3 linked regions of the Macaca fascicularis genome follow. Each later gene encodes a partner of the first gene's protein in a complex. Links are inferred from orthologs where the notes say so. Each region holds a gene or a part of one and is shown in the gene's direction. Other genes may lie near its edges.

Evidence for each region.
Region 2: MED12 (region 1) and MED13L share a complex: the UniProt entries of both Homo sapiens proteins name them as parts of the mediator complex. The link is inferred for Macaca fascicularis from reciprocal best matches to the Homo sapiens genes MED12 and MED13L.
Region 3: MED12 (region 1) and MED25 share a complex: the UniProt entries of both Homo sapiens proteins name them as parts of the mediator complex. The link is inferred for Macaca fascicularis from reciprocal best matches to the Homo sapiens genes MED12 and MED25.

What each region holds. Positions count from the first base shown.
Region 1 is NC_088395.1:77,837,052-77,840,681, forward strand, and holds part of MED12 (mediator of RNA polymerase II transcription subunit 12), read left to right. Parts: intron 1-449; coding exon 450-824; intron 825-1,047; coding exon 1,048-1,198; intron 1,199-1,355; coding exon 1,356-1,561; intron 1,562-1,724; coding exon 1,725-1,802; intron 1,803-1,892; coding exon 1,893-2,110; intron 2,111-3,630. UniProt on the Homo sapiens protein: Component of the Mediator complex, a coactivator involved in the regulated transcription of nearly all RNA polymerase II-dependent genes.
Region 2 is NC_088385.1:123,225,399-123,229,145, reverse strand, and holds the start of MED13L (mediator of RNA polymerase II transcription subunit 13-like), read left to right. Parts: upstream 1-864; 5' UTR 865-987; coding exon 988-1,059; intron 1,060-3,747. UniProt on the Homo sapiens protein: Component of the Mediator complex, a coactivator involved in the regulated transcription of nearly all RNA polymerase II-dependent genes.
Region 3 is NC_088393.1:57,813,979-57,817,625, forward strand, and holds part of MED25 (mediator of RNA polymerase II transcription subunit 25), read left to right. Parts: coding exon 1-85; intron 86-388; coding exon 389-476; intron 477-572; coding exon 573-766; intron 767-1,211; coding exon 1,212-1,340; intron 1,341-1,814; coding exon 1,815-1,900; intron 1,901-1,978; coding exon 1,979-2,036; intron 2,037-2,186; coding exon 2,187-2,294; intron 2,295-3,647. UniProt on the Homo sapiens protein: Component of the Mediator complex, a coactivator involved in the regulated transcription of nearly all RNA polymerase II-dependent genes.

The sequences.
Region 1 (3,630 bases):
CTCCCTCTCTGACTCTGTCTTTCTCTGCCTGCCTAAAGGCAGAATCTCTCCCTGCCTTCCTCTCTCTCTTTCTCTGCCTTCCTTTTTCTGTCTGCCTCTGAATGTCAATCCCTCTCCCTCCCCACTTCCTCTCTGGCTTTCTCCCCAACCCCTTTCTCTCCCGGTCTCGGCTTCTCTCCCCACACGCCCGCCGCCCGCCCCGTTCATTCGTCTCCTCTCCTGGTCCTGGCTGGCTTCATCTTGCGCCTCCATACCTCTCCCTGTCCCCCACCCTTCACTCTCTCCCCGCATAACTCTCTTCTGCATGTATGTGTGTATCCGTGTCTGTCTGTTTCTTACCATCTCTCTTGAATCTACCTATGACTTTCTACCCACTCCTACAAGTGCTTGCGGTCTCTCTTGTGTTTTCTAAGTCCCAACAGCTTATTGTTTTTCATTTTCTGGAGCAGGGTCTACAGGTTTCCACCAAACAGAAGATCTCGCCCTGGGATCTTTTTGAGGGGTTGAAGCCGTCAGCACCGCTGTCTTGGGGCTGGTTTGGAACAGTGCGGGTGGACCGGCGAGTGGCTCGAGGAGAGGAGCAGCAGCGGTTGCTGCTCTACCACACACACCTGAGGCCCCGGCCCCGCGCCTATTACCTGGAGCCGCTGCCACTGCCCCCAGAAGATGAGGAGCCCCCTGCTCCTACCCTGCTAGAGCCTGAGAAAAAGGCTCCGGAGCCCCCCAAAACTGACAAACCGGGGGCTGCTCCACCCAGCACTGAGGAACGCAAGAAGAAGTCCACCAAGGGCAAGAAACGCAGCCAGCCAGCTGCCAAGACAGAGGTGAGCGTCTCCCCCATGACAGTTCTCCCACAGCCTCTTACTTCATGACGCTCCAGTTTCTGGTTTGTGGGAGGGGTGGGGGCGCATAAGGAAGGGGTGCCATTAGAATCATAATAAAAATTAACCATGTACGAATCCAGCTCCTCTTTACCTCATTCTCCCCCAGCTCCCCGACCCCACTCAGCTACAACCCACTCACCCTCTTCTTCTGTCACTCACACAGGACTATGGAATGGGCCCGGGTCGGAGCGGCCCTTATGGTGTGACAGTGCCTCCAGACCTCCTGCACCACCCAAACCCTGGTTCCATAACCCACCTTAATTACAGGCAAGGCTCCATAGGCCTGTACACCCAGAACCAGCCACTACCTGCAGGTGAGTGCCAGTCACTAGGAATGCTGGAGGGACCTAGGTGTATACTCCCCCTGCCCAAAGGGTGATGCCGTTCCCCTGAGGAGCTATGGATGTCAAGGACATTGAGCAAGAGACAGAGGGATGAGGAGCCTAGAGGTCAGCCCACTCTCCTTTCCAGGTGGCCCTCGTGTGGACCCGTACCGCCCTGTGCGCTTACCAATGCAGAAGCTGCCCACCCGACCGACTTACCCTGGAGTGCTGCCCACAACCATGACTGGCGTCATGGGCCTAGAACCCTCCTCTTATAAGACCTCTGTGTACCGGCAGCAGCAACCTGCGGTGCCCCAAGGACAGCGCCTTCGCCAACAGCTCCAGGCAAAGATAGTGAGAGGGGCAGTAGGGAGGGCTGTCAGGGAGAGGGGCTTTTGAGGGTCACAGGACTGAGGAGACACGGGATCTTCACAAGGACACTCAGAGCAGGAGACACAAGAGATGAGATGGCAGCAAGCATTTCCTGAGTTTGAGTTGTTCTCTTCTCTCCCTTTAGCAGAGTCAGGGCATGTTGGGACAGTCATCTGTCCATCAGATGACTCCCAGCTCTTCCTACGGTTTGCAGACTTCCCAGGTAAGAGCCTGGGATTGTGAGACTCGGGGGATGAGGCAAGCTGCTTTGCATACTCTCAGCCCTGATTCCCTCTCTCCTCCTTCCCTCCAGGGCTATACTCCTTATGTTTCTCATGTGGGATTGCAGCAACACACAGGCCCTGCAGGTACCATGGTGCCCCCCAGCTACTCCAGCCAGCCTTACCAGAGCACCCACCCTTCTACCAATCCTACTCTTGTAGATCCTACCCGCCACCTGCAACAGCGGCCCAGTGGCTATGTGCACCAGCAGGCCCCCACCTATGGACATGGACTGACCTCCACTCAAAGGTACCCAAAGTAGTGGTGAGCTAGGAAGAGATGCAGAGGTATAAGGGAGCATTTGACTTGGGAAAGCCCGTGCCTGAAGGTGATGGGACTGGTCAGAACTTTCGGAGACGTCAAGAATACTTATCTGGCCACATAGCCCATAACCACAGAAGTCTCGAGCTGGAAGGGACCCTGGAGACCAATAGTTTCATGTGTACTTCCTTAACAGTTCTTTGAGGCCCAGAGAGGGGAAATTGTTTATCTGACTCATGGAAAAATCTGGGCTGTGTGGTAGCTCACACTGGTAGTCCCAGCACTTGGGGGCCCAAGGTGGGAGAATCAGTTGAGTCCAGGAATTCGAGGCCAGCCTGGGCAACATAGGGAGATCCCATCTCTAAAAAAAAAAAAAAAAAACATATTTTTTTGAAACAGAGTCTCACTCCAGTTGCCCAGGCTGGAGTGTCGTGGCATGATCATGGCTCACTGCAGCCTCGACCTCCCAGGCTCAGGTGACCCTCCTACCTCGGCCTCCCAAGTAGCTGGAACTACAGGTACACACCACCACGCCCAGCTAATTTTTTGGATTTTTAGTTGAGATGGGGTTTCGCCATGTTGCCCAGGCTGGTCTTGAACTGAGCCACCACACCTGGCCAAAAAAAATTTTTTTTTAATTAGCTGGGCATGGTGGTGCATGCCTGTAGTCCCAGCTACTCAGGAGGCTGAGGTGGGAGGATTGTTTGAGCCTGGGAGTTTGAGGCTGCAGTGAGATGTAATCGCACAATGAGCCAAGATTGATTGCGCCATTGCACTGCAGTGGTGACAGAGTGAGACACTGTCTCAAAAAAAAAAAAAGAAAAAGAAAAAAAAAAATATCTGGAGTTCATAGATGAACTACATGATAAGGAGTCCTAAAGCCGGTACCGGCTTTAAATACCAGGTTGAATACCAGGATGGATTAATGAATGAATCCTCCCACCATGGTTAATGTTAGTCAAGCCTTAGTTCAGGCCTTGTAACCATGTTTAGAGACTCCAAAGCTTGGGATTAAGAACACTGGGGAGTGGACTAACTGCCCATTGTGTGGCCAGCACTATACCAGGACTGGGTGAGGTGAAGAAAGATAGCAAAAAACCCCAAAATGCATAGTTCCTCACTACAAAGAATCTTTACTATAGCTGGGGAGATGAGACTTACAGAAGAACATTGAGAGAACACTCTGAGCAAAGATATAATCAGGTATGCAGTTGTATGCTATGAGGTAAAATGCGGATTGAGAAAAAGTACGGGGTAGTATCTGTGGGCCTGACTCATCAGAGAATGTTTCATGAAGGAGGTCAGACTTGAGTTGGCCTTTGAAGAATAGCTGTGATTGGGATTTGTGGAGAAGAGGAAAGGGCATTCCAGGTAGAGGATGTAACATGAACAAAGACATGGGGACAAGAATGAGGATGGTGTCTGGGGAGAAGGGCCTGGATGGAGTGTAAAATCTGTGCTGGGGAAGTCACTGGGGCTAGGCTAGGAGGGGGCAGGCTGAGAGATGG
Region 2 (3,747 bases), on another chromosome or scaffold:
CGCCACGATCAGTGCACCGCGAGGGGGCGGGGCGGCCACGAGGGGCAGCCCACGGCAGCCACGGGCCGGCAGTCCGCCGCCCGCCGGGGAGCCCGGCCGCCTGCACTTCTTTCTCTCCCTCTCCGCCTCCCTCCCTCCCTCTTCCCGGCTCGAGGACCCGGCCGCGCTCGGCTCAGCAGCGCCTCCCGCGAGCCGCCGCCGCCGCCGCCGCCACTCCGGACCCCTCCCCCGCCCGCCCCCTTCTCCCCCCGCGCGGCCGGCGCCCGTCACGTGACCCGGCACCAGCCAATGGCGGGCCGAGCCGCGGTCGGCGGCCGCCATTGCTGTCAGAGCAAGCGAGCCCGGGGAGGGAGGAGAAGCGAGGCTGACTGGGGAGGAGGGGGGGGTGGGGGAGGAAGAGGAAGGAGGGGACGTCGCTCGGCTGCCGGGGTCGCCCGCTGGCTTCGTCCGCACCCCCCCCTTCGCGAGTTCGCGCTCCGCGGCGGCGGCGGCTCCGAGGCGGCGGCGGCGGCTCCGGGGCTCGCCTCCCCTCGCGCGCCGGCGGGGGCCGAGGGGGAGTCGGTGGCTGGAGATAAACAAGGCGGCGGCAGCGGCGGCGGCGGCTGAGGAGCAGGGAAGGCGGAGGCGGCGGCCGGCCCGCAGCGCCGGCCCGGGAGGCAGCGGCGGCCCTGAGAGGCGGGGTGGGCGCCGGGCCGCACGGACAGCGCCCCCCGCCGCCGCCGAAGCCGCCGCAGCCGCCGCCGCCGCCCGAGCAGGAAGGAGCCGCGCGGCCGCCGCGGACCCCCCCGCCAGCCCGGGCCCGCCGCCCCCGGCGCGGCGTCGCCGCGGCGCCTCCCGCCTGCCCGCCGGCCCTCGCGCCCTCCCCCGGCGGCGGCGGCGGCCCGGCCGCCCCGCGCTCCCCGGCGAGGCGCCGCCGCCCGGCCCGGCCTCGCCTCGGACGCCTCGCTCCGACATGCCCCGCTCTGGCGGCCGGGCTCGCGGAGGATCATGACTGCGGCAGCGAACTGGGTGGCGAACGGGGCGAGCCTGGAGGATTGTCACTCCAACCTCTTTTCGCTGGTGAGTAGCCGGGCTGCGGGGAGGGGGCTGTGTCGGGGAGGGGGGGCTCCCCGACCTCCGCCGCCGACCAACTTTCTCCTCCCGCCGCCGGGACTTCGCCCCTCCCTCGCGTCTCCCCGCCGTTCGCCTCTCGCCGATTCTCCCCCTTTTGGATCGTCTCTTTCTCGCCTTGGATCCCATCCAGTGTTTATTTGGCTCTTTAAAAATCATTTGTGAGCGCGGCGCTCGGCGTGGAATTTGCATGTGGAAGTCTCGGAGCTGCGGATTCTGGGTCGCACTTCGAACGCCCACCCTCTGTTGCAATTGCACTCCCCTTCTCCTCCCCTTTCCCCCCTTTTTTTCCCCCCTAAATGTGGAAGGCTTTGCCTTGTGCTGCCCGCGCCTCCGATCGGCAACCTCTTCCCCGTTGTCGGATCGGCTGCCTGCCCGCCCGCCCGCCTGCCTTTTGAATTTTTTTAAATTCCATAATGACACCTGCAATTTCGCCCGAAAACAGTTGATTGAATGCGATTGTGTCAGGAAAGGACTCTTGCACCCGAAGCTCCCGCGATTGTAAACATCGACAGCCGCTTGCCTCTCGGGGCTTACTACGCTGGAGAGCCGTAAAGCCATTGCACCGAGCCGACGGAAGGTGGAGAAAGCTTTTTTTTCTTTCTCTCCTTCTGTGTCTTTTAAAAACTGTTTTCTCTGTCCTAACAACGAATCCACACACACACACACACACAAAAGCAACAAGCTGGGCGGTTTGATAACATCGCTTTTATCTGCTTTCGCCTCTCTCGCGCTCTCTCTCTGATAATTGACAACTTTTCCTTCGGATTTGAATCGCCTGCCTTAATCTTGAAGCAGTTAGGGTGTCAATTGTTCTCGTGGAAGCCTGGCACCCGCCGACGGCGTCTAGATTCATCGAAATTAAAAATGTATAGGGCTCCAGCAACTCTTTCCTGGCGGTGGCAGTGACATTTGGTGGTAAATGCCATCTTTGCTTTTTATTGGGTCGTATTACCTACCTCTGAAAACATTCACGTTGTTAAACCTGGCGTTTAGGCTAATAATTGCAGTGCGTGGTCTTTAAATATGTGCTTTGTGCATGAATTACTGTATGTATAGCTATGTGCCCAGGAGAGTACGAATTTGTTTAAATATTGAGCAAAGATTTGTAAACAGATGTAAGGCAATTACGTTTCAAGCGTAGAATATAATTGGAAAATTGGCTGAACAGTTTATTTAATTTATCCTTAAAAACACCCAACTTAGTTGTGTACCCTGGTTTTTTTAGGGGGAGGTGAGTCCCTTTTGGAGAACATACATTTTGGAAATTATTTTCTGTAACCCCCGCTGTAGATAGAAGCATCATTTCCCTCTTAATCCTTGTTTACACTGGATAAATAATTTAGTGTTCAAATTGTAATTAGTTACATTTAATTATGGGTGGCCTAGATGCTTTTTTGCTATGAGACTAATGGAGAAATGCAAATTCTCGCCAACTTTTCAAATGAAAGTATTATGTTATTAAATGTGTTACAATACAGACCAAAAAATCAACACACGCGATTTTTACCTACAAAGACCGAGTGACATAGTATCATTGATCCCACTCTAGTAAGATCAGGTAAATTTTTTTAAATGAAATATTTTAATCCAGATATTTCATCTTAAAATTCAGTTATAAGTTGGAATTCTTTCTCTTAGTATTTTGATAATTTTCCCTTGATTTTTTTGGTATGTGGGAGTAAAACCCCCTTTTGCCCCTTCTTTTTCCCTCCTCAGTCTTATCATTTGGTATCAGTCAGGTTCAGGGACTTTCACAGATTAGCAAACATATTGATCAAGGGGTATTTAAAATGGTTTTTGTGTGGTTACTGGTGATCACATTGACACAGGTAATTAAAATAACCAAATAGAGAGATCTCCCAAATTATCATATATTATGCTGACTGGTAATGACTGTGTATATACAGATTGTGTAGACGTATGAAAGTGTATGTATAGCCAGTCTTTTAGGGTATATCATTTCTTTTATCTTTTTTTTTTTTTTTTTTTAAAGCTTAAGTAAGAATGATAACGTTACAGAGATAACATGCTTGAGATTCTTTTGGAGAAGCAGTTTTGTAGGAGAGGATTCTGTACTTTGATTTTGACTGACTAAAGGTTTGTGTTTCAGATATTTCTCCCCTAAACCTCTTTAAACCAAAGGATTGATTTTTGAATATGCTTTTAAAAATAATTATTTTTTAAGTAGCAACTTTGAAATAGAGAACTGTAGTAATGCTTAGTTGATTTTTTTTTTTTTTGAAAGGAATGTAGAATGTCTTCATTGTCTTGTACATGGAGTGTGGATAAGGTGCTATTAAAGAAATCTAAACTGCTGACTTGTACATTTTTCTGATTCCAAATTGATATTTTTTTTGAAAATGCTATACAGAAGCAGCAACCTGGAATATTAAAAGTATGTTGCCTAAAGTACATTGTATATAATAGTTATTTCTGAAGGAGATCTAATCCCTTGTTCAAAATAAAGCATATTTTTTATAAGAACGCTTTATGGTTTAATCATAGCTTGCATTTTTTTCTTTTGGCCTGCAGATTTTTTTTTTCTTTTTTTTTTAAAGCAGAGAAAAGTATTTATAAAGAATTTACCTAAATACTCTCATTACTTAGATTGAAATAAGAAATTAAAGTTCTGTA
Region 3 (3,647 bases), on another chromosome or scaffold:
CCCCCTGCCTCCTGCCGCACCCTCCGGTGCCACTCTCTCAGCAGCTCCCCAGCAGCCTCTGCCCCCCGTCCCCCCGCAGTACCAGGTATGGATGTTTCCAGGAAGGGACATGCTTCTGGGGACTTGCTGGAGCCCTGGCCCCTGGGGAGAGATCTAGTTGCATGTTGGAGCTTGTGGGATGATGGGAGTCCCATGGGACATTGGGAGGGTGGGACTCCTGGGGCCATGGAAGCTCATCTGCTAGGTGATGGGTGTCGTGAGCTTCTGAGCTCTCCCAGCTGGGGCAGCTGTGCCTTGTGGGGCCGTGGGTGGTGTGACCTCGTGGGACACCAGGATTGGAGGGCCATGGTCCTCACCAGTCCCTTTCCTTCTTCCCTTCTACCCACAGGTTCCTGGGAACCTGAGTGCAGCTCAGGTGGCCGCCCAGAATGCAGTGGAGGCTGCCAAGAACCAGAAGGCTGGGCTGGGCCCTCGCTGTGAGTCCTGGGGCGAGAATGAAGGGGCGGGCAGGGGCCAGGCAGGCCTCCCTCCACACACTTGTTCCTCACTTCTTCCCTTGGTCTCTCCCACAGTCTCGCCCATCACCCCTCTCCAGCAAGCTGCTCCCGGAGTGGGTCCCCCCTTCAGCCAGGCCCCAGCTCCCCAACTACCCCCAGGACCCCCTGGTGCCCCCAAGCCACCACCTGCTTCCCAGCCCAGTCTGGTCTCCACCGTGGCCCCTGGCTCCGGTCTGGCTCCCACAGCGCAGCCCGGGGCACCGTCCATGGTAGGTGCCTGCACACCTCCTGCCCCCACTCCTTCCTCCTGCTGCCCACAGCTAGGACAGTTAGAGGATGAGTCATTTGCCTTCCAGGGGGGTGTGGATCTGGTGGCCCTGGGGCCTTGGGGGTTCGTGGTACGTGTGCTGCAGATGCCTGAGATGAGGGTCTGGGGACGGAATGGGGAGGCTCATGGCTCCAGGTGGGTCAGGGCTGTTCTGAGAAACACAAGGAATCCCTGGGTTTGGGAGTCCGGGGCATCACACAGCTTATGAGTCCTGGAATCCTGCAGCATCCAAGCATTTCGGGTCCTGGGGCTGGCCAAGTGCTCTTCTGGGAATGGATGAGCAGAAGAAGGGGCCTTTCCTTCTTCCTGGTTTGCCCTCACAGGATGGCCCCCGGAGGCCCCCCTCTTTCCTCATTCTCATGGCCCTCCTTCCTCCTCTCTGGCAGGCAGGCACTGTGGCCCCAGGAGGGGTGAGTGGCCCTTCCCCAGCCCAGCTAGGAGCCCCAGCCCTCGGTGGGCAGCAGTCAGTCTCCAATAAGCTTCTGGCATGGAGCGGGGTCCTCGAGTGGCAGGAGGTGAGGGGCCTGAGGGTCCATTGGGCACTTGGGACTCCTGGGGCCATGGGGCTGGGCATGTGGGACTCATGGGTCACATGCATGGGGTTTGCAATGCTGGGTTTGGGGGCATTCCTTGGGCTGGACCCGTGGGATCCGGGACCAGGCCAGGAGCCCCATGGAGCAGTGGGACTTGCGGTACAGAAGAGAGTCCCCATGCAAAGAACCCAGAAAAGCCTAGGATTTGGGGCCCAGAGAAGGGCCCAGGTGATGTAGCACCTGGGGCACAGTGGATTGTGGGATTTAGGGGCCGGGAACGTAGCCCTAACATTTGAGGAATTGAAGGTTTGCTGGTCTGGAGGAGGGGCCAGGGGCTCATGGGACTTAAACTGGGGAACATCCTGAGCTTTGGGGCCAGCAGGCTAGGACATGAGGGCTCAAGGGGACTGAGGCTTATGGCCCATTTTACTTTGACATGCTCTTTTTCCCCCTCAGAAACCCAAACCTGCCTCAGTGGATGCCAACACCAAGCTGACACGGTCACTGCCCTGCCAGGTCTATGTGAATCATGGCGAGAACCTGTAGGTGACTGTCGGGTGGGGTGCGGTGGGGCTGGGGCTGGCCCCCTCCTCACACCTCTCCTGGCATCACCCCCCCAGGAAGACTGAGCAGTGGCCCCAGAAGCTGATCATGCAGCTCATCCCCCAGCAGCTGCTGGTGAGTGGTGGTGGAGGGCCAGCCCTGCTGCCAGGCAGCCCTCACCCTACTGTCTCTTCCCTGTTCCCTGCCCTACCCCCACTCCCTGCCTCGTGTGCCCACCTCACTTGCCCACACCAACATGCCAGCTGACTTCTGTGTCTCCCGCAGACCACCCTGGGCCCTTTGTTCCGGAACTCAAGGATGGTCCAGTTCCATTTCACCAACAAGGACCTGGAGTCTCTCAAAGGCCTCTACCGCATCATGGGCAATGGCTTCGTGAGTCCAGGGCATTGGGGGCCGAGGGGCATTAACTCTTGTACTGCTTTCTGCTGACCTTTGAAGGGAATCCCAGAGTGCCTGGGCCCATGGAAGCCGTTTTTGATGGTTGGGTGGACTTCATGCCCTTAGGTTCCTCGCCTTTCTTCTAGAGCCTTGACTTTTATTATAATCATCGTATGCACCAGATTGAGGGATATTCCACATTAAAAATGTGAGCTGGATGTGACTGGAGCAGTTAGGAGGAAGCTGTTGATTCTGGCATGGGTTTATGGGATGTGTTCGTTTCCTGTGGCTGCGGTAACACATTACCACAAGCAGAGGGGCTCAAAACAACAGAAATGTGTTCGATCCCAGTTCTAGAGGCCAGAAGCCCAAGGTCAGGGTGTTGGCAGGACCGCGCTCTCTCTAGAGGCTCGAGGGAAGGCCTCCTCATTGCCTCTTCTAGCCAGTAACCCCAGGCTGCAGGTGGCATCGCTCCAGGGTCTTCCTTGATCCTGTGGCTGTCTGCCCTCTGTGTGTGTCTCTATGTGGCATTTTCTGTATCTCTGTGTCCCTGTGCTTATAAGGACATCAATCATTTTGGATTAGGCCCCATTTTCCTGATCTCATCTTACTACAACTGCAAAGACCTTCTTTCCAGATAGAGTCTGGAAAAGGTGCTGGAGACTGGAACCTCAGTTTAGCTTTCTGGTTTTGTTTTTTGAGACAGAGTTTCACTCTTGTCACCCAGGCTGGAATGTAGTAGTGCAATCTTGGCTCACAGCAACTTCCGTCTCCCGGGTTCAAGCGATTCTCCTGCCTCAGCCTCCCGAGTAGCTGGGATTACAGGCATGTGCCACTATGCCTGGCTAATTTCTGTATTTTTTAGTAGAGACAGGGTTTCACCACGTTGGCCAGGCTGGTCTCGAACTTCTGACCTCAAGTGATCTGCCGCCTTGGCCTCCCAAAGTGCTAGGATTACCAGTGTGAGCCACCGCACCCAGCCTCAGCATAGCTTTCTGGGAGACACAGTTCACCTTGTAACTCGGGGAAGGAGCAGATCAGTTACTTCTGTGCACCAGGCATTCCTGCACGAAAGAGGACCTTAGGGATCACCTCATGGGATCCTCACAGAACCGTGTGAAGAAGGCATTCCTGAGAGTTAGGAGTGCTTCTGGCTGCAAATAACATAGTTTTCCAAACAAATAGATAATTGGGGGCACTCAGAAAAAATTTTCTCTTATGATTCTGTGAGTCACCTGGGCTCAGTGGCCATCTCGCTTGGGGACTCTCATGGAATTGCCATCAGATGGCAGCTGAGACTCTGGTCGTCTGAAAGCTTGACTGGGCTGGATGTTCAAAATAGGCGCT